4 linked regions of the Lonchura striata genome follow. The protein of the gene in region 3 purifies or fractionates together with the protein of the main gene of each other region. This does not show direct contact. Links are inferred from orthologs where the notes say so. Each region holds a gene or a part of one and is shown on either strand. Other genes may lie near its edges.

What was found.
Region 1: the proteins of WRAP73 (region 3) and OBI1 purify together in Homo sapiens (affinity purification with mass spectrometry; 3 studies listed by BioGRID and IntAct, counting the BioPlex papers as one, with this or other methods). This does not show direct contact. The link is inferred for Lonchura striata from reciprocal best matches to the Homo sapiens genes WRAP73 and OBI1.
Region 2: the proteins of WRAP73 (region 3) and CEP135 purify together in Homo sapiens (co-immunoprecipitation; 6 studies listed by BioGRID and IntAct, counting the BioPlex papers as one, with this or other methods). This does not show direct contact. The link is inferred for Lonchura striata from reciprocal best matches to the Homo sapiens genes WRAP73 and CEP135.
Region 4: the proteins of WRAP73 (region 3) and SSX2IP purify together in Homo sapiens (co-immunoprecipitation; 4 studies listed by BioGRID and IntAct, counting the BioPlex papers as one, with this or other methods). This does not show direct contact. The link is inferred for Lonchura striata from reciprocal best matches to the Homo sapiens genes WRAP73 and SSX2IP.

The regions. Positions count from the first base shown.
Region 1 is NC_134604.1:48,207,970-48,215,347, reverse strand, and holds the start of OBI1 (ORC ubiquitin ligase 1), read right to left. Parts: upstream 3,011-7,378; 5' UTR 2,958-3,010; coding exon 2,886-2,957; intron 1-2,885. UniProt on the Homo sapiens protein: E3 ubiquitin ligase essential for DNA replication origin activation during S phase.
Region 2 is NC_134606.1:27,506,501-27,514,447, forward strand, and holds the start of CEP135 (centrosomal protein of 135 kDa), read left to right. Parts: upstream 1-4,933; 5' UTR 4,934-5,197; intron 5,198-7,478; 5' UTR 7,479-7,657; intron 7,658-7,947. Other genes in the region: EXOC1 (exocyst complex component 1), read left to right, coding at 591-790, 2,285-2,479, 3,263-3,415. UniProt on the Homo sapiens protein: Centrosomal microtubule-binding protein involved in centriole biogenesis. Acts as a scaffolding protein during early centriole biogenesis.
Region 3 is NC_134626.1:3,815,363-3,823,131, forward strand, and holds the start of WRAP73 (WD repeat-containing protein WRAP73), read right to left. Parts: upstream 3,013-7,769; 5' UTR 2,940-3,012; coding exon 2,871-2,939; intron 1,027-2,870; coding exon 874-1,026; intron 353-873; coding exon 236-352; intron 1-235.
Region 4 is NC_134611.1:18,201,815-18,209,704, reverse strand, and holds the start of SSX2IP (afadin- and alpha-actinin-binding protein), read left to right. Parts: upstream 1-4,884; 5' UTR 4,885-4,946; intron 4,947-5,127; 5' UTR 5,128-5,245; intron 5,246-5,312; exon of another isoform or gene 5,313-5,530; intron 5,531-7,890. UniProt on the Homo sapiens protein: Belongs to an adhesion system, which plays a role in the organization of homotypic, interneuronal and heterotypic cell-cell adherens junctions (AJs).

The sequences.
Region 1 (7,378 bases), on a different chromosome or scaffold from region 3:
TAGCTGCATGGATGGTGATGATAAGATACAGAGCAGAGCAACATAAAATAATCCAAACAGGAAAAGACGTTTCATGAGTGCAGGTTTTCCCCCTGGGGAGCAAGAGACCCTCAGTTACCCCAAACCTGACACAGAATCACACATGAATGATTACTCTATATCTTTAGCAAAATAATAAGTCACATGTATTACTCTCCAGGGTACAGTGCTTCTGATTTACACACCTTTACAAGTTTCATTTCAGGGCTGGGGTTTTATACTTCAGTTCACTCAGGATCCACACAAAGCAAGGCACACCAGAACAGCAAGAGCCACTATTGAAATGTCACACAATGGCTGGTGCTGCCACTGCCCCTCCCACCAACTGTGACAAGCCTAGGGGGTAGGAGATCAGGACATACCTACTACTAAAAAAGCATTTTACTTGAATTACAGCACAGTTCCAGTGCATTCATTGACCATAATATCCAGAAAGACAACCGTTTATTTCAGAAGGCTTAATCAGCTTGGTAATTTTGAGCTATTTCCTAATTTTTCACCTCCAACATAATGCCATCCCTATGCAGATCAACATCCAATCCTGTACACATTGACTTCACTTTGAAGGCACTTCTGGGCCTTCAGGCAGCACTAACGGAGGAGCAGGCACATGAAAAATCAGACACACCCAGTCAGTGAACCAATCCCAGATATCCTACACTGTTTCAACCAACACAGAACAGCGTCTTGAGCCCAAGCAACCTGTCGACACCAAAACCAACAAGAGAGACCTCCAAACATTCTGGGACAAGAAAAACAGTCTGAAGCAGATGGCTTCTGATCTGCTACCTAATTAAAAAATGCAGCTGTGTTAGAAGATGGCCCAGACTGTACCAAAAGAATATTCAGGTAACAAACATGAAATTGATACAAGCAATTCACTATTACTTTAAATGGTTATTTGCACATCTTGCCAATATACTTTCTGACATTGTTCATGTTAACAAAATGGACTAACGTGTCCCTGCTACCCAAGACTTCAGCTCCATCAAGAACAATGAGTGGCCAACTCATTAAAAGAATTTTTCTTCAACATTTCCTTTTTTATCCTCTTACCATAATGCACAGAGAATAGTTTGTATCTTGCAGTCAAACCTTTGCAAATTTTGCAGGGATAGAAAGAGAAACACTCTGAGTTTAGGGTAGGCCTTCTACTTGATTTGAAGTCTATGCCATAAACCACAGAAGTATCAGTATTATGTCAACCCTCCATGATACTCCCTGCTCTCCCCTAAAAGGTAATAAAAACTGACAAGATTTTTTCCTTAACACAGGCTAAACAAATTCCTTTCTCCAACCTTAATAATCCTGAGAAAATGGGTTTTTCTGGTGAACTTTTTCAATGAAGTTCCAAACTAGAGACAAAGATGTCTGTTAAAAAGAAAGGGCAGTCAGAGTTGTCAGCTTTGTCAAAATTTAAACAGATTTACACATCTAAAAGTGAGAGCATTTAAATATCTTTATTACATTAATCACCAATAGATTCACAATTCATTTATATATGTTAATGTATTGTCTCAGTGCAAGAGAGCAAGGAAGAGGGTGGAAGCCTCTTCCAGTACAAACTCAGGAACATCTAAAAAGGAAGTGAAAGTATGAAATAGTGGCTTGGAATAACTCAGTGGCTTTACAGCAAGATATGAATGAACACCTAACCAAACTGTTAAGTGCTTAGATCAGAAATTAACTAGGAACAAATAGCAAATATCTTTGTCAGTTTAATTTCACTCTCCTCTTTTCACTCCACTTTTTGCAGAGTGGAAGGTATCCATGCTGCATTACATACAGAGTACACTTGGGTTCTACTCCATTTTCATTAGACAGATAAACAGAAAAAAGAAAACTAACATGACAACAGCCAGGAAATCTTGCTCAGCTTCCACAAACAAACAAACAAACAAACAAACAAAAACAAAAACAAAAAAAAAAAAAACCCAAGAAATGAGTAAACGTGGTTGCTTAAAGTAACACGCTGTCAGAATTTTGAGACTTAAGGGACCACTTTCTGATCACTTTCACTACTAATGCTACACGCCTACTTCACACACCAAATGCTCCCGCTCTTTTATTATCACTCCAACAGAGAAGGTCTGGGAGCGAAGGCCAGGTGAGGTAGAAACAAACCAGACAATACGTGCCAGAGTACAAACACAAAAGGCTACTTCTTCACTTGTAATTATGTTGTGCTTTAAGAAAAGAAAACGAGAGAAAAAAAAAAAACTAGTAAGGAATGCGCAAAGAATTTGAGAAGCAATTAGTGACAGCCATGAAATTGGCTCTGGGGCTTTTAGAGAAGAACAGACTAGTAAGAGCCCTCTTCTTCCCGAGGGAAAAGAAAAAGGGACTGAGAAAAGGTCGGAGAGGAAACGGGAACTTTTTGTCCAGACTGCTGCAGTTTTGCTGAACAGTTTAGAAATCTGCTTGCTTATACGCCCCCTCTTTGTTTCACTTGTCCTCCACGACACAGCACTACACTCAAACACAGGCTCCCCGAGCGTTTACAATGGAGCACCCTACTGGTAACGGGAGAAAGCCCCCAGACGCCAGCACCTGCCCCTCGGGAGCTGCACACGGCATACCTGGGGCCCTCCAGGCCCATCCTACACCTCCCGGCACGATCCCGCCGGGACAACGCGCGCTTCCCAACCTCCCGAGGCTGCCGGCAAGCCCCGGCCCCCGCCGGGAACGGCGCACACCCCAATTCCCTTCCCCGCACGGAGCCGCGCAGCCTTAAAAGACACAACCCCGGCCACAAGGGTCAGAGCGCCCCAGAGCTGCCGCCGCCGGCCCGACCTCCCTGCCCCCCGCAGCCAGCCCCGGCCCGCGGGGCCGGGCAGCGGCGTTACCTTGCCCAGGCAGATGTGGCAGGTGATGGGCAGCGTGAGGGACAGCGTGACGCTGGGGCCGTGCTGCGCCATGCGGGCCCGAGCGGCGCGGCCCGGCCGGGCGGCACGGAACTCCGCGGGCGGCCCCGGCCCCGGCCGCGCTACGGCAGCCGGCGAGGCCAAGCCGCCGCCCGGCGCAGCGAGCGCCGCGCGCTGTGCCGGCGCTGCCCTGCAGGCGGGCGGGAGCCGCGGCCCCTCGCGGCCCCTCGCGGCCCCTCGCGGCCCCTCGCGGCCCCCCGCGGCCCCTCGCGGCCCGGGAGCCCGGGCAGGTCTCAGCCTGCGCACGGCATTCCTGGGGGAAGCACGGCGCCATGGGGAGCGCAGGCACAGTGCCTGTGCAGGAGGGCGACGCGGTAGCAAGGATGGTCTTCTTTCCCCTGGTAAACCTTTGCTGTGCTCAGGTTTCATCATGTTGAATAAAGATAAACGGCTGTTTTAATTCTGTTAACTGTCCTGAATCACAGAATCGTAGAATTACAGAATAGAATTACAGGATCATAGAATGGCTCGGGATAGAAGGGCCCTTAAAGACCATCTTGGTGCATCCCCCGCGCCATGAGCAGGGACACCTTCCACCAGACCGGGTTGGTCAGAGCTCCATCCGGGCTGGCCTTGAACGCTCCCGGGAATGCGGCATCCGCAACTCTGGGCAACCTGTTCCAGTGCCTCACCGCTCAATCTCTAATATAAACCTACTCTCTTTCAATTTTTCAATCCGTTCCGCCTTTTCCTGTCACTGTGTACCCTTGTAAATAGTCTTGGCTCATCTTTCCTGTAGATTCTCTTCAGTTACTGGAGGGCCCCAATTAGGCCACCCTGAATCCTTTTCTAGCCTGAACAATCACAATTCTCTTAGCCTTAGGAGAGGTGCTCCATCCCTCTGACCGACATGGTGGCCTCCTCTGGTCTCACTCCCACAAGTCTTTGTCCTTCCTGGGATACGGGAACATGTTCTTGTGTTCTAGGGGAAACTCCCAGGGCATGAGCCCCCCTTCCCCATTACCGCCAGTCCATCTGCAGTCTCACGCCTCACATCACTGCTGGGTTCCCACACTGCACAGGCAGCTTTGCTTCTTGGCCCCACTGCATTGCCAGTCAGCTCAGGTGGGATTTGCACAGCCCGCAGCTTTGGGAGCAACAAAAAAAATGAGGACTGGGATAAATCCTCATGCCCTGCAAGGTGCTGCATGTGATGATACCATGTGGAAGACTCTGATCCATGGAAACCAAGGGGCCAAATCTAAGGATGAAAATTTTGCATCTGCCATCCAGCTTGTGCCAACAACTCTCCAAATCATGGAGCTTTTCTGTTGCACTTTCTGGGCTGCTGGAAAAAAGCGGGGAAGCACTGCTGGGGGGATATAAGGCTCCTAGGAATCTGCTTGCTTGACCTCAGTCCCAGGATTCCTGTAGTTTCTTGTAAATGTGCCACAGCATGCTGAAAATTACAGACTTGAGTGATTCAACATTGCACCACAAGATAAATGCTTATAATGCTGAGCAGCTGATTCAAACAAGCAAAAGTTGTGGATGCAATGATTAACAAGGAAAGTATCTTAGACTGACACAGCAGAGTTGCACGGATGCATTTCAATTTGGTATAGGTAAGTCACTGCAAATAAAGCGAGAGAACTAATCCATGGTGACATTCCAGCATAGACAAGACCTAGCGGATTTGGTGTTAATGCAATGCTTGAGTAGGAGAGGGCGGGTTTGAATAAGGTGTGCTTGATAAAAATTGAGTGCTTACATGTTACAACACTTTTTAGTAAACTTCAGGAAAAAGTACTGTCAAATAAGAAAAGAATAATTTACCAACATAATGCACATATCATTAATTAAGATAGACTGGAGTGAGTGGACATGCACTTCGAGGAGATTCTTTTAGTCTTGGTACCACTGACATGCTGCTTAGGTAGAATGGTGGTAAGAGAAATTTTTTCAAGGGAAATGTAAAATTTTTGAGATGTTTGAGCTTAAAAGAGAGCCATTGGAGCCTGAAATTCATTCAGTGAGTTTATTGTGCAGCCAGCAAACTACACAGGAATGCAATGAATCTCTCTTATTTATCTTTTTTAGCTTTATTTTTATATTGACTTTTATTGAAAAAATGTGAATAGACAATATCGAGAGTAGAAAGGGTAAATGCATGAAAGAGAAATCAAAAGCAGGGAAATGCATCTTACATTTGACATGTGAAACTCCTTTAAATGAATCTGGGATGAAGCAGGAACCCTTTCAAAGGCATGACTTCCACTGCTTCAAAAAAGTGTATGTAACTGGAAAGTGACCTGTTAGAGGAAAAGCTCTGTTGGGATGAATATATTTTCTCTCAAACAAAAATAACTTGTAAAGGAGTTTATTTTCCTGAATAAGCTGCTAAAAGGAACATGTTTTCTCTTAAGGAGGTTAAACGTATTTGTTTAGTGGATTTCTGCTGAAGTTGTATGCATAGACTGTGAAGGAGTACTTAAAAAATTATTTGTGATCTAGTAGCGCCTCAGGTTTTGTTGAAATTTATGGGTTGATGTTACCAACTTTTCAGGGGTATGGAAAATACTTAGTTCTGTAGTACTGAAAGTGAGACCTCAGGGAGCAAGGAGAAGGGAGCTGGAGGGGTAACAATCTGCTGCAGCTGAGGGGAGCTGAGAAATACCATGTAAATGCAGGAGGTAACAAATGTTTAACAGGTCCAAGGGATTGAACACCACAGTCCATGTAGCATGAAGGATACTTTTCAAAGGGCTGGAGCCAGGATGAAAGAGAAAACAATTCCTGAAATGCCTGGCATACCTCTGCTGCTACTGGGGCAAAAGGATCAAAGAGTCAGGCAGTTTTCCAGCCATATGGCCAGTGCTGGTAAACCTATAGAAAAAAGATGGGTTAAAAGCCGAGACTCTAACTGTGAATGATCTTCTAGTATTAGGGCTTCATTTGTGAAATGCTTCAGCAACTTCACTACCTGCTCCTGAAATCTCAGAAACCTGAGAGGAATTATAGTGGAAATATGAAAATAGCATCTGTCACAAATTGTGGAAAGTTCTTTGGTGAGAGCTTCAAAAGAACAAATATAGGACAAGAAAAAATGATCAGACAACTAAGACATTTCTTTTCTGCTTGAGTTTAGTTCATAAAGATTAATAAAGTTAACATATTTTTGGCTTAAAGTACATCAATTCCTGTATTTTGGATCTGTGCATGTTTCCCAACAGTGTGCAGAGAGAGGAAGGAGCAGGTGTAGGTATGAAATGTCTGTCTTCTTGGCTGATTAGCCCAGTGATAATTAATACAGTTGCATTGCTTCCAGTGATTTGAATATATATATATTTAGATGTGGGGCTTTATGCCATGAAAACCTAACCTAAAGGTCAGTTTTTTTACCAACACAAGTAGATATAAACCACTGATAGCCAAACTCTTCACCCTCAGTGTCCACTTCTGCAACAATGAAGTCTGTTCAAATTGGCTTTGAAGAGCTTTCTCTTCAGAACCAGACTGGATGAATCTTCAGCTTTTATAAAAGGGTTTCCCAGGTGGTTTTGCATGATTTAGGGGAATATAGGATGAAATTTGCCTCAAACTGAGTAAAGAAGCATTGGGTTCTAGGTGCCTAATTCAAACCTGTGGTTATTAAAGGGTGAAAACAGCTTCCCCTTCCTCAGGATTTTACTGTTGAGGAGCCCTGCAGAGCGGTGGCCTTACTGGCTCCTGTTGTGAGACACCATCTCAGGGACTCACTGGCTGCCATTCAGAGGCCATTCAGTAGAAATATGTAGCTCTCAGATACCCCTGTCTATGCTGCCTGAGGACTGTAGGCTGCTCTTGCCATCTGCTCTCTGGGAGTTCCCATGTGGCTTTAATTTTAAAATGTAAGCAAATTTCATCTCTCTCTTTAAAACAGTGCTTTGGGGTTTGGCTGCAGAAAAAATTTGGTGTTTCTGGAAGGGAAATAAAATGAATGTTAGAGGCCAGAATATCAATCTCTGGCCATTAGGTAAGAGAACTGGGACAGAGAAAGATAATAACTTTGTTGATTTAATAATATTTGAGATTGACAGTCTTGTGGAAGCTTGGTGCAGTTAGTCTTCTTCACAAGAAAGAGTAAAAGATGACAAATCAATTTTAAAGATAAAGTTTTCATTTTGAGTTTAACCATAGTAACTTTACCCTCTTAAAGAAGAATATTCCTACTCACACTTTCCACAACCCACAAAGGAATTCAAGGACTAGCTCAGATGTAGACATCTTGCTTCTAGGCATCCAGAGTTCAGTAAGAAAAACCCCATTCTTCGTGATGTCTTTTAGATTTTTTGATCTTGCAGTTCTGATGTTTTCCATTTTTCTTGATGTGTCAGCAAGGAGCCAAACAAGTAAATAGATAATGTTGGGTTATACCTGAAGTCAGTGCAGCTTTCATACTTAGGACACTAGGCTGTGCCCTTCTTTCTTTTTGA
Region 2 (7,947 bases), on a different chromosome or scaffold from region 3:
TTTTTTGCCTGCTTGGTTTTTTTTTTTGGGTTTGGGCTTTTTTTTTTTTTTTTTGCAGGGGAAGGGGGAAGTAGAAGATCTAGGTGCAAAATTATCTATTTTCATTATGACATTTAGGGACTGATGGTAATTTTGACCATAAAACTAATAAGCAAAAACTGAGATTAAGAAGTACATTTAAGAACCCCCCGCTACCTTACTGAAGATTTTTGTCCTAGTGAAGATGGGAATTGATTTTGCTGTTGACTTCTCTTAAATAGTTCTATCTTGTGAAATTTATTAGGGATACTGAAAGCATGCTTGTAAGCCTCCTCAGAATGTGACCTGCTCCTCACACCTGTAAATGAGATCATACATTTATCTTTTTATAAGTGCATTTTTTGCCATACAAGTTTCATTGTCTTAGAGCCTGAATGTATCTGTTCCTTCCTTTGAAGGCTCTTAGATAGCATTTTATTTACTGGTAATTCTGACTAAATGAGTTACATGAAACTCAAAATTCCCTTTTTGATAGTATTATGGTTATTGCTTATGTTTTTCTGAATTTGTTCTTTTGGTATTCTTAGTATTTTGCTTTTCATTTCTTTTAGTTGAGAAAGTAGCTAATGAAAGCCAGAAGACACCCAGGGATGTTGTCATGATGGAGAACTTCCATCATATTTTTGCAACACTTTCTCGCTTGAAAATTTCTTGTCTGGAGGCTGAGAAAAAAGAAGCCAAACAGAAATACACTGATCATCTTCAGTCTTATGTAATCTACTCACTTGGACAGCCTCTTGAGAAATTAAATGTGAGTATATTTGAGTATTCATTTAAATGGTAAAGGATAGTGGAAATAATACATTCAAAAACTGTTTGATGTCTTTATCACTGTATCTATCGTAATCCCTTATTATTTTGGATTGGAATATGTCTGGCAAGAGTATTCATGAGGATAACAGTTTTGGATGAAAATAACCAAATTTTTCATGGCAATTAATAGTACTGACTAAACATCAGTGTCTTAAGCAAAAGGTTTTGAGGAAGAAGAAAGTGAGGGGAAAAGTCATCAGGATTTTGGGGATAATCTTTCTCACCTCAACTGCAGAGAAAATTGCTGTAGTTTCTGAGCTGTTCAACAAGAAGAACAGTTATAGGAAAATTCTGTGTATCTGAAGTTGAACTAAATGTTAAACTGAGTGGTGACTTAGGTTCAGATTCAGTTCTGTCCACATGAACGTCTCATGGCTTTTTCTATAAACAGGATTTCAGGCATCCATTTTCAGAGGCATTTAAGATGTATTCCTGTTTTGAAAATTAAAATGCTTTATTGCTGTTTCCACTTTTGGATTGACTCTGACCAACATCTAAGATGTCACATAGCTAAACTGCTGCTCAGTCCCCCCTCTCCAGGGGGGACAACAGGAAGAGCAAAAGTGAAAAAACTTGGAGGTGGAGGTTAAGACAGTTTAATCAGAGAAGGGGAGAGAGAAAGATAGAGGGAAAAAAAATAAAGTAAGTGGTACAAAACCAGTCATTGACTACCTCTCACAAGCAGACTGATGCCCAGGCAGTTTCTGAGCAAAGCCACTTTGAAGCCAAACACCAAACCTGCCTCCTCCAACCCTAATTTTTATAGCTGAGCATGATGTTATGTGCTATGATTTGGTCAGGTTTGACCTGTTCAGCAGTAACCAAAACATTGCTGTGTTAACAGCCCAGTTTTAGCCACAAATCCAAAACACAGCACCATAGAGGCTGCTGTGAAGAAAGTTAACTAGGGAGTTACTTCTGTCCTACCCAGACCTGATGCACTGTTGAGCTCAACCTACATGTTCATAGAAATACTTCCCTCTATTACTAAAACATTTTTATTTACTATGTTGAGAAAACTGGCTAATGACAGTGAGAAGGGAGGGCAATTGTGAACAAATATGCTCTTGTGTAATTATGGTTTAAAAGATGCTCAGGTGCTTAGGGAGATCATCCAATAGATCCAGTATTTGGATCCCTGGTTATGAGCTCATGAATTGAGGATTTTGAGGCTGACTGGTTATTAGTTAAAAGGTTGCAAAGAAAAGCTCAATTGCTTCTAGAAAGGATTGGTTTCAATTTTATTCTAGTGCTTGGACTGCTGTCTTGTTGAACTGTGTTTTAATGTTTATGGCTGAGCAGTACTTCATGCCCAATTAAGAAACAAAAATTGGGAGAACACAACAGTCATTAAGCCAGATCAAGATTTAACCACAGATATTCTTGTCAAATGCTCAGATTTGTGATAGTGACTAATGCTATTACTTGTTAGCATTTTTTTGAAGGTGTTGAAGCTCGTGTGGCACAAGGTATACGGGAAGAGGAAGTAAGCTATCAGCTGGCTTTTAATAAACAAGAGCTTCGTAAAGTTATAAAGGAATATCCTGGTAAAGAAGTGAAGAAGGGATTGGATAATCTCTACAAGAAGGTAGATAAACATCTCTGTGAAGAAGAAAACTTACTTCAGGTAAACTAAATCGTGTCTTAAAAACCCTATAATGTTACACAGAGGCTTTTTATTACTGCTTTTGCATATGTATTCTGTGAGAATGTTCAGCATAACTCTAAAAACATAAATTTTGAGTACAGCTTTTGGGTTTTTTTAATAAGCATACTCTGTTTCTATTTGTTTAATACTGATTTGGACGAGAGCAGTAGAAAAAAGTCCAGAAAGAAACTACTTTATGATTCCCTAGCTGACCATTAATGGGTGATGTCTGTTCTGCAAAATACATTGGAAGTAGAGAATAGATTTAAATTAATGGATAACCTGATGTGAATCTTAATTGGTGCACTATAGCAGAATATTTTCAGTTATCTATTTTCTGATAGTTGTATTATCTAATGTTTTCCTTACACTGTGTGAACTTTTTCACTGGAGTAAATAACAAGTAGACTTGAGTTAAGCTTGTTTAAACAGCTTTTTAAAGTCTGAAATGTGAATTATAGCACTCTTCTGGTTCGGGGTGCTTTCCTGAAAGGCAAAAGCAATACCTCTGTTAGGAGAACTTCCCCATCTTCTATTTTCTTCTTTGCACATTTATTATGTCATGTCAACATTACAGATCTTAATGGATAAAAACCATCAATCTTCTTTTTAATACAGTAACTCAATCTATTGAACTTTATTAGTAATCTTTAGCTGTAAAATGACACCTGAAATGTGAGAATCAATTAATGAACCAATGTTTTCTAGTTAGCCTATGTATTATGCCAGTTGACTTTTCCTAAAGTTTGCTTTCTTTGGCAGGTTGTGTGGCATTCCATGCAAGATGAATTCATACGACAGTACAAGCACTTTGAAGGACTGATAGCTCGCTGCTACCCTGGATCAGGAATTACTATGGAATTCACTATACAGGATATTTTAGACTACTGCTCCAGTATTGCACAGTCTCATTAAGTTCTAGGAAGGGAAAGAAGCTAGCAAAGTGTGTGCCTGTATATAAGGGAATCAAACACTATAAATGTTAATGGGTTTTTAAAAGGTGTTTTTCCATGTGTGTGTAGTTAACTGCCATGTTTGAGTAACACTCCTGCTTCAAATGCCTTTCAGGGCAAAATAAAAACTTTGGGGATTTATTGTGCTTCTATTGGGCTGAAGTAATGTTTGAAAGCATTATTCTGTGAAACACTTTGGATACAGTTTTTCCCTTACCCTAATATTCAAATATTTTTATTTATAATTCCTTCTCTTGCCAAAAGCAGTAAGCACTACCTTCATAGTATGCCAAAAGAATACTGTTTTCACTAATATTTTTCATCTTAGAAATTATGTAAGTATTGAAGACTATCAGATGTTTTCCCTTCCTTGTTGTAGGAAGTATGGATGTAGAACTTTATGCAGTGGGAAGATTGAATTCATGTTCTAAGATATGTGACTACAGCTATAATTCTTAATTAAACTATGTTCATCATATTCTTTATTTCTGTGGAGAGTTATTTCAAAAAGTTGAAAATACCTGAAGGAATTAATTCCTTTGTTTTGTTGATGGTTATTGAAGAGTTGGTGCCTTTCTGCATTCATGTTGTTTTTCTTCCTTTTAGTAAATATGATGTAGTATCACTGTACTCTAACCTCATGTAAATCCTTCCTCTTCCTGGAGCTTCAGTTGCCAGGGATTCAGGACCTAGGTTTTCTGTACAGCTTGGTGAAATTGCCAAGTTGTTGGATAGAAGTGGGGTGTATACAGGGTAGAAACACATAAAATAAACATGCAGAGGTAGAATGTTTTTTCAGATGCAGATGCAATAATAATAAAAAAAAAAAAAAAAAAACAACAGTATGAATGTCAGTTTTTTTGTAACAAACCTGCTAGATGCAACCTGGATTTCACAGATTCATAGAATTGTGTTGGAAGGGATCTTAAAGATCCTCTAGTTCCAACAGCCTTCCAAGGGCAGGGACACCTCCCAGTACACTAGGCTGCTCAAAGCCCCATTCAGCCTGCCCTTGAACACTTCCAGGAGCGGGGATTCTACAACTTCTCTGGGCAACCTGTTCAGCGTCTCACTGCCCTTACAGGAACCAGCTTTCTCCTCCTAACCTACCTAAATCTACTTCTGTTTCACTCTGAATCCTTTGCCCCTTCTCCTGTCGCTGCATGCCCATGGAGAACATCCTCCGTCTTTCCCGCAGGCTCTCGGGGCCGGGCTGTGGGCACGGGCGAAGCCGCTAGTCCCGGGTCTCCCGGGTCTCTCCGCTTGTCCCGGAACTCCCGGCTCGCGGGGCGCTGCAGGAAGCGTCCCGCCCGGCGCGCGAGGGCTGCCGGGCCGGGAGGGGAGGGGAGGGGAGGGGAGGGGAGGGGAGGGGAGGGGAGGGGAGGGGAGGGAAGGGAAGGGAAGGGAAGGGAAGGGAAGGGAAGGGGAGGGGAGGGGAGGGGAGGGGAGGGGAGGGAAGGGAAGGGAAGGGAAGGGAAGGGAAGGGAAGGGAAGGGAAGGGAAGGGAAGGGAAGGGAAGGGAAGGGAAGGGAAGGGAAGGGAAGGGAAGGGGAGGGGAGGGAAGGGAAGGGAAGGGAAGGGAAGGGAGCGGAAGGGGCGGCCGGGCCGCGCGGGCGCGTCCCCCCGTTGCTGCGGGGACGGGCCGGAAGCGGCCGCTGCTCCGCGCGCCATTTTCAAAGGATTTCAGGCGCTGGGACGTCGCGGGCCTGCCAGCGGGCCCGCTTGCCGACGCCTGAGTTTAGTGGTGAGTGTGGGGAAAAAGTGGCGTGAACCTGCTTGGAAAGTGACCGACCGCCCCTCTTGTAGGTACAGACTGGGATTGCTGGAAGGTCTGCAAAGCTTGCAGTTTAGGGAGGCGGGTGATGAGCAGGCTGATAATCGAAAGGGTTTTGTTGTGCCGAAGTGGGAACGTACAGGGCATGGTGTCAGGCTGCCAGGGAGGACGTGGAGTCTTCCTCTCTGCAGACATTCTAAACCCACCTGGACGCGTTCCTGCCACCTGCTCCAGGTGACCCTGCCTTGGCTGGATGATCTCCAGAGCTGCCTTCCTAACCATTCTGGCATTCCATTACACTTTAGCGAAAAAAACCTGTTTCTTCGGGAAAAGCGTTGTCTTTCCATTGGCTAAGTGCCGAGACTCCACGGCAAGCGTGTTGTATGAATACCTTAGTCAGAAATGAGCTCCCGGCAAATCCACTTGGAAGCAGCCTTTCCTGAAGCAAGTGCTGGCTCTCTGGGTGTGTCTTCAACACGATGTTGCAGCGACTGCGTGTCACGGCACAGCCCTAAAGCACCGCGGTAGTCAAATATCAGGTCCGCTGAGTGCCTTTGGTACCTGGGCGAACAGGACAGGGAAAAAAAGGGAAAAAAACCTTTAACATGTAAGTTCTGGTGAATGAAAAATGCACTTTGGTATTTCCCAAAACTGAGACTGAAACTGCAGTTCACTATTGTCTTTGGTGTTAATGTTACAGGCTCAATTAAAAAACTTGTTTCATAGCATATACATTTGTCCAGAGTAATTTCTTTGTGTTCAGCTGTTATCGATGTAGTTTTGTTGTCCACATGGCTTGATGACTGCATTATTTCTTCCATGGCCAAGATCCACCTTTGCTCTGCTTTTTTATTATTACATTTTCTGATTGATAACACAAATATTCCATCTGCAACAGTTCTGAACCTGTACTCAGCATAAATTTTGCTGTGTTATTCTCCGAATAAAAGGAGGACTTCAATCTGCTAATCTAATACCTATAAATATTGCTTATTTCACACAATTTTGTGCCAGTTGATTCTCTAGTTAAAGCCTAGAGCAGCAGGATATAAGGTTTCACTTTTGCCCATCTTTCACATCAAGGATCAGTTGGTGACTTAAAATACTAGGGAACACTTCTTAGGTGCTACATATATCTATTACATAAACGTATCTTTAAAAGACTGCTCACAGCCATCCAAGCATGTCATAAAATGAGGCATGTGAATGTTGTTACCTTCAGCAGTTTTCATCAGCAAAGGGGGAACAAAAATGAGGCTAATTGGCTCTGAATACTTTTCAGCAAGCAACTGAGAGGTGTAATCATTTAAACATATTAGTAAACCCTATTTAGCAAATGACTGATTTCAAGTGATAGAGGTGTAATCATTTAGATGTATTAGTAAGTCCTGTTGAGGAATTGTCTGAGTTAAAGTACTGTTCAATTTTCTCTTTTCTATTTTTCATCAAAAATGGAAATTTGATTCTCTTCACAGCAGTCCTAAATTGAAAGAAATATTTAGATGATAAATTATGTGAACTATTTATGCAGCTAATGTAGCCTGTCTCATGGGAAATACCAAAGCTGTTAAGAGTGCTTTCCAGTACTTTGCAAACTTACAGACATCTAGTAGGTATGACATACCTTTCATCAAGATTCGGTTGTGATTCACAAGGCTATTAAGCTTCTTTAAAGAAAAGCAAATTCTGGATTGAATTGACTTGGGTGCAAACAATGTAGAAAACTTGGATTTACAAAAAGGCTTTTTGAGAAGGTTCTTTACCAAATGTTTTTAAGAAGGCAGGTGTCTGTCAGAAATGGAGAAAAGAAGCTGGAGATTAAAAGAGAGAGTAGAAAGTACAACCTTACACAGTGAATGTGCAGAAGATTGTCTGCTGTTTAAGACTGATCTGAAACAATGGGTTAAACAGCAAGGGAAAAATTTGCTCATTTTATAAACATGTTAAGTGTGATCTCAAGGATTGTGAAGAGTTTCACTGGACTGAATAATAAAGTGGGAATTAAAGAATAGCATTAATAAAGGCAAAGTGATACATGCTGTGTTCTCTAGAATGGCACTAACTGCTCAGAAAAAGATGTGGCACTGTGAATGCATCTCATCTATGCTTTAGGGCAAACAAAGACCAAATGCCCTGGTTTCAGGTAGGATAAAGTTCGTTTCCTTCCTAGCAGCCAGTGCAGTGTTGTGTTTTGGATTCAGCATGAGAATAATGTTGATAACACTCTGGTGTTTTGGTTGTTGCTAAGTAGTGCTTGCTCTCAGCTGAGGACTTCTCGGAGCCAGTGAGGAGCTGCACGGAAAGCCATGAGGGAACATAGCCAGGACAGATGATCTGAGCTGGTATTCCACTACTTAAAAATAAACCAGGGAGTACCCAGAGCAGGGCTGGTTGTGCTTCGAGGACATGCTGGGCATCAGTCAGCAAGTGGTGAGTAATTGCATTGTGCATCTCTTGGTTTTATCACTCTTTCTTGCTTAGTAGTAGTATTATATTTTGTTTTAAATATTAAACTGTTCCAATGGCAATCTAAAAAAAGTTTTGCCTTTTATTCCCCTGATTCTCCCCTCCACCCCTGTGGGAGTGGGGAGAGTAAGCAAGTCAGCTGTGTGGTGCTTGCTTGCAAGCTGGGGTTAAGCCATGACAAACACTGATCAGTAATGTGAGAGAGTGGGTTAAACAGCAGGGGACAAAATTTGCTCATTATGTGGACATGTTAA
Region 3 (7,769 bases):
ACCTTCAAATTTAAGTGTCCATTTTTTAGTGTTTCACTAGAAGCAAGAGGACAAAATGTTAGAGGAACAACAAACACAACAAACTGGAATTAACCCGAGTTACACACAGGAGTACAGAGCTGCATCCGTGCTCTCCACCACTGCTGCAGCTTTAAGGGCTTTGGGTTATTTTGGGAGGCAAAGGGCAGACAGCACCATCTGACACCGAGGGGAGCCAGCCTGCCCCCACACTCACATGGAACTCGGTGGTGTTGAGGATGTGACGCCCGTCCGGACTCCAGCATGAAGCCACCAATCCCGCGGAGCCCTCGTCGATCTTACAGTGCCAGTCCGGCTGCTCCAGGGACCAGACCTGGGGCAGGGAGCAAGCAGACAGAGCAGAAAGCATCAGCTCACCCACACCTCTGCTCGGAAGGGCTCCCTGCAGCTGCCAACAGGCTCCTGCATCCCGGCTCAGGCAGCTCAGCAACACCCAAGCACCCGCAGCCATGAAGGACTGGCGCTGGATCCCGCTGCAAAAGTGAGTCCCATACCTCTGGGTGGTCATAGAAATGGCAAAGGATGTGGGGTTGGCTTTTTCTCTGTGACAAATATGCTGAATATCCAACATCTAAATGGGTTTGGTCCATTTAACAAGCTTGCATGTTGTTTATTTCCTACTGCAGTAAGAAATCTCTGTTTTGCTAGATATTTTTATCCTAAATATTCTTTTTCAAACTAAGATGTTTGTCGTGGCTTTCAAAATCCTGGCATGCTGGGTTATCCTCAAAGTGTGTTATCAAGGTGCCTCAGCAAAGCCTCAGACTAGTGCTGTTAAGCTCTCACTCGCATCACACCCAAACTGGGAAAGTCCTGCCCTGCTTCCATCCTCACCTGGACAACGCCCCGCTTGTACATGGCACACAGGATGAACAGAGAGTCTGAGGACCACTCCAGGTACTGGATCTGATCCACACAGGTGTAGAGGTGGAGGATCTGCAGTGAGCTGGCATCCCGAACCAACAAACGGTGCTGCACACACGAGGCCTGGGGGGGACGGGGACAGGGCTGAGCTGGGGCAGGATCCTGGATGGAGCACCAGGGCTGTCCCTGCCAGGCTCGCTGTGATGCCAGGCTTAGCTCAGAGAGGGTCAATGCTCTGTTTCAATTTAAAAAAAAAATCCTCCCTGTGGGTGGTGAGCCACTGGTACAGATTGCCCAGAGATGCTGTGGCTGCCCCATCCCTGGAATTGTACACGGTCAGGTTGGACAGGGCTTGGAGCAACCTGGGATAGTGGAAGGTGCCCCTGAGTGTGGCAGGGGCTTTGAACCAGATGAGATTTAAAATCCTTGCACTCCAAACTGGTCTAGGATTCTGTAATTCTGTTCTATATGTGCTGAGCTCCACTGTGAACTGCAGTGAGAACTAACCCAGGGGAAAGGGGGTTTTACAGCAGTAAGTAGAATCCTCAATTCCATCACTGCTGGGTACGCAACGCCAGTTTTTAAAAAAATATTTTCTGTCTTATAACTTTTTTTATTTCACAGAACCCCTTATTTAATAGAATCCCTTAATAGTCTGGATTAGGAGGGACCTTAAAGTTCATTCAGCTCCACCCTGCCCTGGGCAGGGACACCTTCCACCACGCCAGGCTGCTCCAAGCCGTGTCCTTGGGCACTGCCAGGGATCCAGGGGCAGCCACAGCTGCTCGGGGCCCCCAGTGCCAGGGCTGCCCACCCAGGCAGGGAATTCCCCCCCAAGAGCCCATCCAGCCCTGCCCTCAGGCAGATGAAGCTGCTCTCCCCCGTCCAGCCCTGCCCTCAGGCAGATGAAGCTGCTCTCCCCCGTCCAGCCCTGCCCTCAGGCAGATGAAGCTGCTCTCCCCCGTCCAGCCCTGCCCTCAGGCAGATGAAGCTGCTCTCCCCCGTCCAGCCCTGCCCTCAGGCAGTTTGAAGTTGCTCTCCCCCGTCCAGCCCTGCCCTCAGGCAGTCTGAAGCTGCTCTCCCCCATCCAGCCCTGCCCTCAGGCAGATGAAGCTGCTCTCCCCCGTCCAGCCCTGCCCTCAGGCAGTTTGAAGTTGCTCTCCCCCGTCCAGCCCTGCCCTCAGGCAGTTTGAAGTTGCTCTCCCCCATCCAGCCCTGCCCTCAGGCAGATGAAGCTGCTCTCCCCCGTCCAGCCCTGCCCTCAGGCAGTCTGAAGCTGCTCTCCCCCGTCCAGCCTTGCCCTCAGGCAGTTTGAAGCTGCTCTCCCCCATCCAGCCCTGCCCTCAGGCAGTTTGAAGCTGCTCTCCCCCGTCCAGCCCTGCCCTCAGGCAGATGAAGCTGCTCTCCCCCGTCCAGCCCTGCCCTCAGGCAGATGAAGCTGCTCTCCCCCGTCCAGCCCTGCCCTCAGGCAGTCTGAAGCTGCTCTCCCCCGTCCAGCCCTGCCCTCAGGCAGTTTGAAGCTGCTCTCCCCCATCCAGCCCTGCCCTCAGGCAGTTTGAAGCTGCTCTCCCCCGTCCAGCCCTGCCCTCAGGCAGATGAAGCTGCTCTCCCCCGTCCAGCCCTGCCCTCAGGCAGTTTGAAGCTGCTCTCCCCCGTCCAGCCCTGCCCTCAGGCAGTTTGAAGCTGCTCTCCCCCGTCCCGCCTCTCCAAACCGTTGTGGAAAGTCCCCCTCCATCTTCCCCGGAGGCTCCCTTCAGGTACTACTTAATTTAAAGTCATACTTAGTTTTAAACAATTCGCCTAACAGATTACGATTAATTTAAGCTGACTCAGGTCTCGGTACTGCCCCTCAGCAGCAGCCTCAGGCCGGCATTCCCCGGGGCTCCATCCTCGCCCTCAGCCCGGCCCGGCCGCGCGGGGGCCCCGTGCCGGGCCGCACGGCGCCGCTGCCCGCGGCCGGCACTCACCAGGCATTTCCCGTCGGGGGAGAAGCGGCCCAAGAGCCCCGAGAGCTTGAAGGGCTCCGAGAAGTTCATGGCGGGCGCGGCGCCGCCGGGATTCGAACCCGCCGCGCTGCGGCCGCCCCGCGCCGCTCCGCCGGGCCCGCCGGAACGGGCGGGGCCGCCGCGGGGCACGCCGGGAGTTGTGGTCCCGCGCCGGCCCGGCAGGGGGCGCCCGGCGGCGGGAAGCGCGCGGGAAGGCGGCATTGGTATGCAAATGAGCTGCTAATGAGCCGGGTAATGACGCGGTTAATGAGCTGCGGGGTGAGTTCTCCCTCCTCTCCTTATCCTCAGGGAAACCCCCCTTATCTGGCGCCTTTCCCCGCGCACCGTCCCGCGCCTGGAATAGCCTTGACTAATTAACCGGCCCTTCTGGCTAATTAATCAGCCCTTCGGGCTAATCACTGTTGCCGGCTAATTACCGACAAAAATGGGAGAACAGGTGGGATGTCGCGCCAGATTCCCCAAACAGGACAGAGAAACTAATAATTGGAATAGAGATACGCCAGCAAAAAGGATGTGAAGTGACTGGAATCAATCAATCAATCAATCAATCAATCAATCAATGTAGATGTGAAAAACACCAATCACTTGTTTTTTAAAATCTTCAAAGTTTATTAGTAATAAAATAGTCATTAAAAATAGTAATAAAATTAGAGTAATAAAAACTTGGACAATGAGGATTAGGACACTCCAAGACAATAAAAAGCAAAGAATTTTGGACTTCCAGATGTTTTCGGGCTCTGAGCTGCCAAAAACATGCCTTGAACAAAGGGATAATCCTTAAAAGCAACAGCCTGTTGCATGTTCATGTATCTCATACATGGTGCATAAATTCCTTGCAAATTAAGAATTTTTCTGTTTTTTGTCAACTTCCTCCCCTTAATCCTGGTGGTTCCATAAAGACAGAGAGAAGGTGGAAGAATATTTGGTTTTTCTGATAAGGAGGTTGTAACTCTTCAGGTTTCGTGTTGTTGCTATCTCTATGCGAAGAGTTTCTTGATTATCTTATCCCATTCCTTGAGCTAGTAAAAATATCTTTCATCACATAGTTTCTATTTTAACATTATGTGATAACCTAAAACTACATTTAACACACTATTTTAAAAGGATTCATACAGTATTACAAACTAACCGTCCATAATAGATACAGTATTCCATTTAATATTTGCGAAGAGCCAATCATCAAATACACATTTTATGAACAGCCAGGGGATGCACAACTGCCTCCCTTTGTCCCCACGGTGTGTATCCCTGGGATTTTTGGCCCAAAAATCTGACTTCCTCACATAGGTGTGAGGAAGGGCTTCACTCACACACAAGAACTCTACTGCTACCAACACAAAAATCTGTTGCAAATCTCTGCAAGACTGGTATTCAGTTGGACAAACTCAGACAGAGACTGAGTTTGTTTGTTGACTGGAGTCAAAAAATACACTTTTTTTTTTTTTCTTTCATACTTGATTGCTTTAAAATCTGCAAAGAGTCATCCCAGCATTACCTGAAGTCCCCAGATGTCCCAGTGACAGCTCGGCCGGGTGGCACCCCCCACCCTGTTTGGAGGGCACAGTCACCATCAAGAATAAACCTCATGATCAGAGGTTCTGAGGATTGGAGTCGTGATTTCATTCGGGATTATTTGGGTTCCAGAAGCTGCTTCCAGCCGCAGCCGTGTGTTTTTTGGGGGGTGAATGCATCAGTTTTCTGCCCCCACAGCAGAGGGACAGGTGTGACAGCTGCTGTGCTGTCACCACCACCTCCCCGTAACGTGGGGGTGCCTGTGGGCAGGGGGGTGGCTTTGTGTCCCCGGCTGGGGACAGGGGAGCTGAGCACCAGCAGTGGTGCCCAAGGATGAGCAGAGCCTGCTGCCCACCTGGGTGATCCCAGGCAAGCGACCAGCAAGTGACACGGGAGTTTGTGAGGGGGGTGTCAGTGTGACAGGGTGTCTGTGATCCATAATTAACCTCATGGGTGATGGTTTTTAATCAGAAATGTTCATTCTTCACCCAGTGCTCCTCCCTGAGTCGCTGCTGCCCGGGAGAAGCAGTGCAGGGAACCCCAGAGCCCTTCCCCATCCCTGTGGGAGAGATGATCTGGTCCCTTGGCTGAATACAAACACAAAACCTGCTCAGTCTGCCTATCCAATGAGGGGAAAAACCTCCTTGATATGCTGACATCCATCTTTGCTGGACGTCCCATCCCTGGAAATGCCCAAGGCCAGGTTGGACGGGGTTTGGAGCAGTCTGGGATAGTGAAAAGTGTCCCTGCCCATGGCAGGGATGCAATGAGGTGATCTTTAATTGTCCCTCCAACCCAAACCATGCCCTGATTCTGTGCCCGATTAAAGCCCAGCGCTGCTGCCAGGTGGCCACCACTGTCACAGCCCCCACAGCCAACTTGCCCAGCGTCACTTTGGCGCTGGTGACCAGCTTTAATTCCCTGGCACGCTTGGCTGAGCACTCCCCACCCCCTTGCACAGCCTCCTATCCCAGGAAGGAGCGCAGGAGCTTTGCCTCGCTGTTCACACAGCTTTCAGCAGCTCCAATGTCATTGCCTTGGCGACCGGGACGCTACTCCAGTGTAGAGCAGTAAATAACGTAGATCCTCAATCCCAGGCCACTCCTGCCCGCTGGAAACCTCCGGGGGAACTCAAAACTCAGGTAGGAGAGGGGAAAAAAACCTCCAAGAGGAAAGCCTTTGCTCTGGGTGCGGGTGAGTTTCTCCATAATGCGGCTGGAGGATGATTTGTGGCCGCTTCCCTTCGTGGGCTTGTGACACAATATTGAAGTGCCTTGGAAAGTTTGCTCCCAAGTGGCTTAACTCTGGAGTGAGAGCGCTTTTGGAGGAGCCAGGGATGGCAGAAGCAGCAGGAGATGGATGCTGGTGAGATGCAGGGGCTGGCTGGGTGCTCCAGGTCCCTGTGCGGGCAGGGAGGGGAGCAGCGGCCTCAGCCTCCTGCCCTATCACGAGCTGCTGTCAGAGAGGATTTCTCTCCAACCTGCCTCCCCTTCAGAAAAAAATTATTGATAAGCTTCTGGACCTCACAGAGGGGTCCTGAGATTCGAAGCGTGCTGCAGGAAAGCTCTCTCTCTCTCCCTCCATTGCTTTTACAAACCTCATTTTGCAGGTGTGAATTTAACAGTCCGGGACAAATGAGTGATAGCACAGGGCAGCATTGGGCTGGCAGCATTCTTTTCAAGCTGTTTGCTGTAGTCTGGATGAGCCTGATGGGTCTTGTTGTGAGGAGGAGAGAAAGTCCAGGGCCAGTTCCCAAGTCATGGAGCAGCTCCATGTGAGAGGTGGAATGGCTCTCAGAAGTCCTGCTCTGCCAGAGAGTCCTTAGGAATTAGTCATAGCCCTGTTACATCAAGTTTCTGCATTTATCTCCCATTCAGGTGGCTGCAAAACACTGTCATGTTTCCTTCTGGGCTGTTGGGGTGGTGGAACAGCAGTGAATTACCAATTGATAACAAATACTGAGCGTTTCTGGTGCTAAACTCGAGCCCTAAAGTTGATCATGAACTCAAAGTTGCTCCTTCCAGAGAGTGCAGAAACTCAGTGGGCAAACTCAGCCAGTTCCCAGCAAGGCTGAAAGCCCATGGTGCCCTTCACTGTGATAAAAAATGTTGAGTTTATAATCATTCTAATAATTTATTAGACCTTATTAATCATCCTAATATTGATTCGAATTTATATTTTATTTATGGTGTGACCTCTGTGGTCACAACACGTGAGTATTGGCACGGTTGGATAGACTGAGGTTCCTCTGCTCTGCTTCTCCAGGAGCTGTTCTCCCTTTTTGGGCTGGCTGTAGGGACCTCGGTCCGTGCTTTTCCTTCTCCCTCTGTCTTTGGGGCTGGGATTTCCGCAGCACCGCGGAAAACTGAGTACGTGGAGCTTTTCCATACTAATCTTTGGGGAGGATTCCGGCGGCCGTTCCCAGGGAAGCTTCCCGGGGCAGCGGGGACCGGAGCCGGTGCCGTGCCCGGGGGTGGCAGCCCCGCCGCGGGCTGAGCCGGGTCCCGCGGGGAGCAGAGATGGGGGGATCCTCTCTTGGCAGGTTTTTGCCCCGCTGCCGGGCTCTTTTCCCGTCTGCAGCCTCCCTGCAATGCCCTGACTAGCAACAGAGGGAAGCAGCAATCCAGGGAACGCCGGAGCGCAGCTCTCCCAGTGAACGCCAGCAAATCCCACCGGCAGCCCTGGATCCCAGCACCGACCCCCTGGTTTGCACGTTTTGGGTTTTTTTTTCCCTTAGAAAGCTGCAAGAAATCCAGTGCAGGTCCCCTCTGAGCCGTGCCAGCCGTGCCAAGCATCCCCCACTTGCCTCTCTGCTCCATTGAGGCGAAAGGGATGGAGGATTCCTTGCTGAACCCTTTCCCTGGGAGAGGAGATCCCCACTTTAATAAGAAGTTTATAATAAGTTTATAACAGTAATAATCCTCCTGGGGGAGTCTGGCTGGAGAACTCTTGCTGGAGGAAGTCAGGATGAAACCCCCAGGTCTTCCTCTGGAGTGGGGAGTGATAGCAGGGAGCTGAGCTGGGCTGTGGCTGCTCCTGAACCCAGCTCCAGGTGCCATTTGCTCAGCCTTGGGCACAGGGATTGTATCCAAGCCACCAGGAGCACTTCCAGAGAAATACAGAATTAGGCTCTAAGGCTCTTCCCAATTTACCTCTGATTTTGATGTTGCACAAAGCTCCCACTGCTTCCCACAGGGTGACTTTTCCTTCTGCAGAACTTCACCATCACGGTGCTTTTCCAGATTCCCAAATGTGGACTCCTCCAGCATTCCCTGAAACAGGGCTCCACATGGCACCTCCTTTCAGAGGGAATTAGATCAGCACCAGACTGATTCTGGGGAACCCTTT
Region 4 (7,890 bases), on a different chromosome or scaffold from region 3:
GGATTGAAGCAGACATGCAAAATATTGCACATATTCTCCAAAGATGATGTATGTGTAGTACAGGATAAGATGGGAAGGAGAACAGCTGTTTCATGGCATGAGTTGCTATAGCTACTAACATCAAAATTTGTCATGAAATATCTGCATCACCGAAACTCTTCAAAAGAGTTCAACTAAATGGCATTGTCTGTGCTGCTCCTTACTTCATGGAAGAGGTCCCTTGAACTACTGTCTGAACAATTTCAGAAGGGAACCTGAGTTGCTGCAGGCATTGTAGCCTGTTGATGTTTTATCTTCCTCCAAAGGTCTTTGGGGTAAATTCAGTGAAAGCTTACTTGGTGCCTGCCTTCCAAAATGGAAGAAAAAACTGCCTATGGTACTCTTATTATGTGTGGAGATAGTTAAATGAGGGAAATATCTGCTCCCGTCTTTAATCAGAAATAAGGTTGCAGAAAGAAACATGTGGTTGTGGGTCTCTGAAAGGGCTTAGTATCTAATACCTCATTGACACTAAAACTGTGGAATCCCATTCCTCTCCCTGTTCTTCCTTTTCTCTTTCTTCTGTCCTAGATTGTCTTGCACTTGTTCTAGCATATTTGGAACACCCTGTGAGCCAATTCACCTGCTAAGCTGCTGGAACTCTCGCCCAACAAAAACATAAAATAAATGGAATTAATGAGCTGTATGACTCAGATGAGAGTGCAATAAAAACCAGGGCCTGTGCAAAAGCCTAACTATGTAGACAATTTTGGGGGGGAGCAGTGAAATAGTGGCAATCCTTGTTTTAGTTGGCATCTTGTCACTCACCCTGAGGCAGTTTTATTCAAAGGTTTTGGCTGTGGTTTCTTTTCTGTGGAGTCAGCATCCTTTTTGTTTTGCACCCACTTGGATTCCTGAAGCTTAGTTTGCTTTCCATGGCTTTGGCTTGGCACAAAGACCTGTTACTCTGACAGGTAAGAACACCGTCTCATCTGTGGATATTTTTGTGATTGTTGGTGTCCCTGGCCAAACTCCTGGGGAAAGCCATCTTTCTCTCTGCTTTATTTAACCTAACAGGGATTAGTCTGAAATTTCACTGTCCAAGTGCAGGAGCAGAAGAAACTTTCAGCCAGAAATTGAATGTCTTTTAAATACTGAGCCAAGTGACTCTCATGTAGTGGGACACTGGTGGAGAGGAGGGAATGGATCACACAGGTGGGCTTAAGAATGGAAAGTCCTGTAACCTGCTGTAGGTCTCTGCATCTTTGGAGCCACCGATGGGCTCCAGAGACATCCATTAAGATCACTGCATGACTGGAGCTCCTAATGTGTGAGCTGGAACTGAGAGCAGACCTTAAAGCTCTTACTAGTGCAGAGCACAACCCACAGACTGGCTTTGAGGTTATTTTTACACATCTCCACAAAGAGACACAAAAGCCCTGTGAGCTGGGCTTTGTCGAGTCACAGTTCTTACACCAGGGGACAATAAAGGAGTCACAGGCTGCCACCAGCCTATTGCATAACCAGATCAGACATTTTAATGAGCTTCTGCTCGACCAGGCTCCGTCAGCCCTGCTGATTTGTAATCAAGCAGGACACTGCTATAGAAACCACTCCAGCAAACAGGGTTTCTGAATGTACTTAAGAAGATGAGTTTGAATTGAAATGCAAACAACCTGTGGATCAGCCCCTCACTTTCTGAATTATAGGAGCCTGTTGTCTTACTGTTCATGCTACGGTTTAATCCATCTTGAATTTAAGTTTTGAGATATTTGAGTTATTTTGTATATTTCACTTCATAAAGCAGTTTCTTCTGGTTCTTTAATTTTTTCCCCATTATAATTCTTAATCCAAATTTTTAGCAAATAATTACAAAGAATAAATTATAAATACATCTTCAAGATTTCTCCAATAATTTATTCTGTAAAATATGTTTGTAAAAGAAATTGAACTACAATCAATTTTTAGGCTAACAGTCTGCATGACAGAGTGGAACAGCTATGAAATAACACAAGTTGTTTGGTTACTTTTAAACTGAATTATAAAACAAAATAAAAGGAGACTCCAGATAATTCAGTTGATTAGACTCAAGCAAACCCAAATAAAGAAGGAAAAAACTGTTTGAGGAGTTACTCTTACAATTTGGGTTATTGTCAAAGACCTGACATCTGCTACAGGATATTTATGATATTATTCAAGAGAATACACTAAATAGTTGACTAGTTGACTGTATCCCTGAATACCCCAAGCTTCCAAAGATACCACCCTTTCTCTGTACCAAAATCCTCCTTATGTCACCTTCTTGAGAATCACTTTAGAAAGCTGGGTTTTACTTCTCACTCCAATTTACGAAGACTATGTTATACCAAACTGATGCATTATCAGTGAAGGATTGTGTTGGACTACAGTTTTTCATAAGGTAGAATTTTCTGATTCTTTTTCCTGAATGCATCCCACAAAGACTTTTCCTTTCCTGGCCAGCCTTTTAAAAAAACATAACCCAAACCTGATCCATGATGCACAGCAGAGTGCTTGGGGAGTTCTCCTTTGAATAGCATCAACTTCAGGAACAGCTGCTAAGATCAAATGGACAAAGGGAATTCAGCACCACCCATGCCTGTATTATGTTTTAAAGCTCCAGGAGCTTAATCCTTCCTGTGAGCAAGGTCTGTTGTCCCACTTGCCATTACCACTAACATATTTTGTGTAAGTCTGCTTCCTCCTTGGAGTGCACCTGTGGCAAAGCTGCACTATAAAGATCCAAAGTCTTTGCATAAACCTGAGTGATAAAATGGAAGTTTTCTTCTGCAGTGCAAGGAATGATTTCCTACAACCCAAATAACATAAAAAAAAAAATCAGTTTCTAAAAAAAAAAAATTAAGTGTTTTTGCAAAGGTACCAAGAGCCAAAACAATAATCAGTATTTCTGCAAGCTGATAGAACCTCCTTCTGACACAACAAGAAACAGTTTGCTTACTTGCCCCATATTCTTTTTCACCTGCCTGGAGAGGTAGTTATGGTCTGCTCGTAACTGAGAGAAATGGCTTTATTTCCAATATGTATGGCAGGAGTATACTTTGCCCCTGGAAGTTAAATTTTCTTGACTTTTGAAAGGCTGACTTTTACCTCAGTCAGCATTTTTCCATTCTTAAGCTGACCTTTGAAAACCAGAAATGCTGAATGAAAGAGATTATGGAAGCAGGGCAAGCACAGTGGGAGAGATGTAGGGAGGTTTATCACAGCTGTGTTTGTGGCAGGAAAACCTATAAAGCCCATTTTCTTTTGCAGTTCCATCCCTTGGATGGAACACAGAGCATTGTTCTGTCTACATGATAACCCTAACACTGAAAATGCTAACGTACTATTTGTGTCCTATGTTACCACTTTCTTATACTGAAAATACACAGAAAATAAGCAAAGTTTGCCAACTTGGGTGGACAACTGAATTTAAGAAAGAGTATATAACTACAATCTATTAAAAATAAATATTTTATATCCCAATCACTGCTATTTTTCTGTGGTGGTGTCTTTCCAGTCACAAGTCATTCTGTCTACTGCATTCTAAAGCTCTTTTCTGTCAGTAATTTTTTTTTTTTTTCTGTTTCTTGATCTGGTCTATAACACCTTAGCTTTTGAAGTAAAAATAGCAAGAATAATCATCAATCTCTTCCTGTCAACAAAAGCCAGGAAGTAAAATGTCCCAATAAATTTACTAGGTTAGAAAGCTGGCATTAGTTTATTAGCAGTGCTTGATGCATGGGGTTTTATCCTCAAAGCATTCATGAAGAGCAACCTAACAGGCCAGGTTATATCCATGGAACTAATGCATATTCATCACATTTCTACTACATATTCATTACATTTCCTGAATACATATGTAGATGCTAATTGTTTCCATTAACTTATTTGAATATGAGGTCTTTTGAGTGTCTTTGGTGGTTGTTTGTGAACACCCCATGCCTCAAAATTTCCATTTTATGGTCCTGAATTATCTGATGAATCTCCTTTCCTTGAGATCACTTTGTTTAATGCAAAGTGATTACTTGCACTGAATCCTCCAACAAAGCACTCTCCTCAAAGCTAAATGTAAAGAGAATATTGGACCTATTCTGGTGACCTCATCCTAATTAAAAAAAATACCACAACAGGCTAAGATTGACAATATTGAAAATTGTTGTTTCTTAACCTGGAAATACATTAGGATGAAAACTTCCAATTTTGAAAGGCAAGACGTCACATATTTAATGGTGAGACATTGTAAGTTTAATTTATATTCTCTGGGGAATAAAATATGTGCCAGGCTGGGTGTCTTGGTGCTTTTTCAGCATCACTCCCAGCCACAGAGAAGGCTGTCAGGTCTTCCACAGGGCGGCATTTTTGTGACTTGTGACTGGGAGAAGAACATTGAGAGCAGCTGTGGAAGGACTTGGGGGTTCTTGCGGTCGAAAAGCTGGACATGAGTCAATCCAGAAAGCCAACCCTGTCGTGGGCTGTATCCAAAGAGCCATGGCCAACAAGTCGAGGGAGGGGATTCTCCCTCTGCGCTCCCGTGAGAGCCCGCCCGGAGCCCCGCACCCGCTCCGTGTCCTCAGCACACGCACGGCGCTGTGCTGGGAGGGCACGGAGATGCCCGGAGCTGGAGCAGCTCTGCACCTCAGGCTGCGAGCTGGCACTGCTGAGCCTGCAGATGGCTCAGGGCGAACCTCATCGCGCCTTCCCGTGCCTGAAGGGAAGAGAGAGAGCCTGCCCTTGGACAGAGGCAGAGAGCGGGGCCCACGGGCCGGGCCCGCGCCGCGGGCAGGTGGCGGAGCCGCGCGGCAGGTGCCGTTCCGGTCTCCCGGCAACCGCCCGGCCAATGGCGGCGCGGCGGGGCGGGGCGGGCCGCGGTTTAACCCCGCGGGGCCCGGCCGGGCCGCGGGGCTCGCTCGGGAGCCGCCTCGCTGCCGCTCCTCGCTGCGGCCCAGCAGGTGGGGGTGCGCGGCTCCCCCGCCCCGCGGCGGGTAACGGCGGGGCGCTGGGGCGGCGGCCGGGGCGGAGGTACCGGCTCCGCTCCGCTGGGCTCCCCCGGGCCGGGGGAGGGTCCGTGCGGGCACAGGAGCCGGCGGCCGGGGCGGGCTGTGGGTGCTGACATGTGCTGCCTTCCCTCAGGCTCCGGCTGATCCGCGGGGACAGGGCGATCGCGGCGGGGCTGGGCGTGCCGGCGCTCCCCGGCGCTGGAGGCCCGGCGTTCGCCGTCTGTGAAGCTCCAAGCGGCAGATGCTCGGAGGTGAGAGCCGGGAAGCTTTCCCCTGAGTCAGGGAACTGGGGGCTGCTCGGGCTGAGCTGGCGGCTCACGTGATGGAAGAGTGCAGGCTTCGTAAGGGACTTGGGGCGTTTTTAAAAAACGTTATTTAAATTTGTATTTATTTGCAGCAAAGCTACTTTAAATCTGAAGATCAAATCGTAATGCGAGACTAGTTTGTAGTGTTTCTCCATCCCCGGATTATGTAGAATGTGCTGCTGCTTGCGGTGGTGAGTGAAGTAGTTCAGCAGAGCTCCGTAGGCTGCCAAGGTATGATAGGAATTTTAGGGCAATGACTTGAAATACGAAGTATTCGAAATATAATGTGGAAGTATTAGGTAAATTTTAATAGTGAACTCAGAAAGGAGACCTAGAGAAATTATTTGATACAATGAAGGGGAGTTTCAGATTATAGGTGTTTATGGGGAAAGATGTTGTTTCTAGGTTTGTTTTTTTTTTGGGGGGGGGGGGATGGGGAAAGCTTTGATTCTAATATCAGTTATAATTTAGACCAGAAAGATCACAGGAGAAGGTAACACCAGGCTCATGGGGCTCAATATCTCAGTTCTGAAGCTGGCAGCAGATGCTAAGGAAAAGATGTTAAGTATAGTTTGGTTGTACAGCAGTGCTTTTATCTGTGTATCCTTCTAAGATGCTGCAGTCTGAAATGGAAGGATTTCTAATCAGAGGCTGCATCTGTGTTTTAAAATGTAATAGATGTTGATGAATGTTTTTCAAAAAATTTGAGACAGTTTATGTATTGATTATTCACAGCAACTGATGGTGAAGCAAGTCCACAGTTTGTATTTTATGTGGAAAAAATGCCCTTATTTCCCAGCTTTTGCACTGAATGTTTCTTTGCGTTCTGTACAAGTGCTGTGTTAAAAGAAGCAAAGAATATTTGTTTTCTCTATGTTGCTGTTGTTTCTCCAGCTGTTTCCTCTTCTAGCTGATAAGTCACAGCTTATTAGTTTCTTGTGTGAAATCATTGCTTGACCTTTCTTGCAACATATTTAGGTACATTCTGTCTTTTTTTCCAAGGAAGGTTGTATCACTGTGAGATATTTCAGGTGCAGAAGCTTAGTGTTCATCGGGAGTCATTATGGTGGTCTCTTCTGTCCTCTGCTCCAGGGTTCTGTTGGCTGCCTGGGAGCTGTTATTTCCAGAGGACTAATCATAGGGACTGGAATCTCTGCCTGCATGATAATGCCTAACTAGAGTCTGTTGGTTTAAGTGCATAGCAGAGTTGGCCTTTTCATTGTGTTAGTTTGTGTTTATGGACAAGGAATGTCAGCTGCTGATTTTTATTATCCATTTGTTTGGTATGAGGACAACCTTCTGCAGTTTGTCATTCAACCTGTGTTTATTTCTGTGAATAACTCTGTATAGTAGATGAGTATATCATATGTTACAGAGAGATGCCTGCACAGACCCCTTTTGGGCTCTAATTTTTCTCCGTGACTTTCATACACTTTGTTCACCCACCTATAGCTTGTTCCTACACTTTGCCCTTTTCCTTTTATAATCGGTCACTAATAAATTCCTTAGCATCTTGATTTAAGAGCTTTTGGAGGGAAGATTGTCAAAAGCTTTTTGAAAATCCAGTTATGCTGTCTTGCCCAAGTGTGTTGGATGATTCCTTCTTCCAGAGCACTGTGGCAGAACTTAGTGTTCCTTCCTTCCACAGAAGGTATGCTGACATTTCACCAGTCCCATTTGTTTGGAGTTGTCAGGTCTTTCTGTGACATTTGATTAACAGAAACCTGGAATTTACAGAATTATTCTTTGAATTGCCATGTAATCGCTAGAGAAATAATGTAGTTGTCTTCTTGCATTCCATGCCTGATTTAAATTTCAGGTTACATGCTGCGGAAACATGTAAGTTTCCCAATTTCTGGTACCTGGAATACTAGTTCTGGCTCTGCCCAGTAGATATCTCGCCAACTTCAGGAACAAATAAGATAGTGGTTTGCTTTTCTTTTAAAAAGTTGTCTGCTTGCAGAGACAGCTGTAAAATTTGGATAAAGCTGACATCAGGAAGGAGAGGAGGACATGCAGAAGATGGTTTCTGAGGTTCTCTTGTCTGTGACACAGGGAGATTTGCTAACAGAATGTTCTGCTCTGGCTACATATAGTCAGTGGTTTGTGAATGCAAAAGGAGAAATTCAGTTTTGGAGATTAACAATAGAGTTATTGTTTAGTGATAGGAAAACGCTAATGTGAAACCCATCTTGTTAGTTCAAAATGGGGTAGGAATTTGGGAGCCAGATAAAATGTTTCCATCTGTTTCAATTTTTTCAGTGATTGAAGTAACAGAATTTCTGTGTGTGTATGGCATGTAGAGTTGAATCTTGAGGTAGTACATCAGATTGTATTCCTTGTACCCTGAGTGTTTGAGGCAAAGATCATGATAGAACAGTCATTGAATTCTGAATTTTATCAGATGTAAGAGTATATTATTGTGTAATTATATGTGTTGAGAAGAGTAAATATTTATTTTCTTAAAACCCTTGGTAATTTTAATTTGTTTTCCTGTTTGCTTTTCTAAGTAAAATGGAAGGGAGAAGTATAGTTGGGATTTTTGAGTATGATGTATTCAGAATGAACGAAGACTTCATACCCAAAAGCTA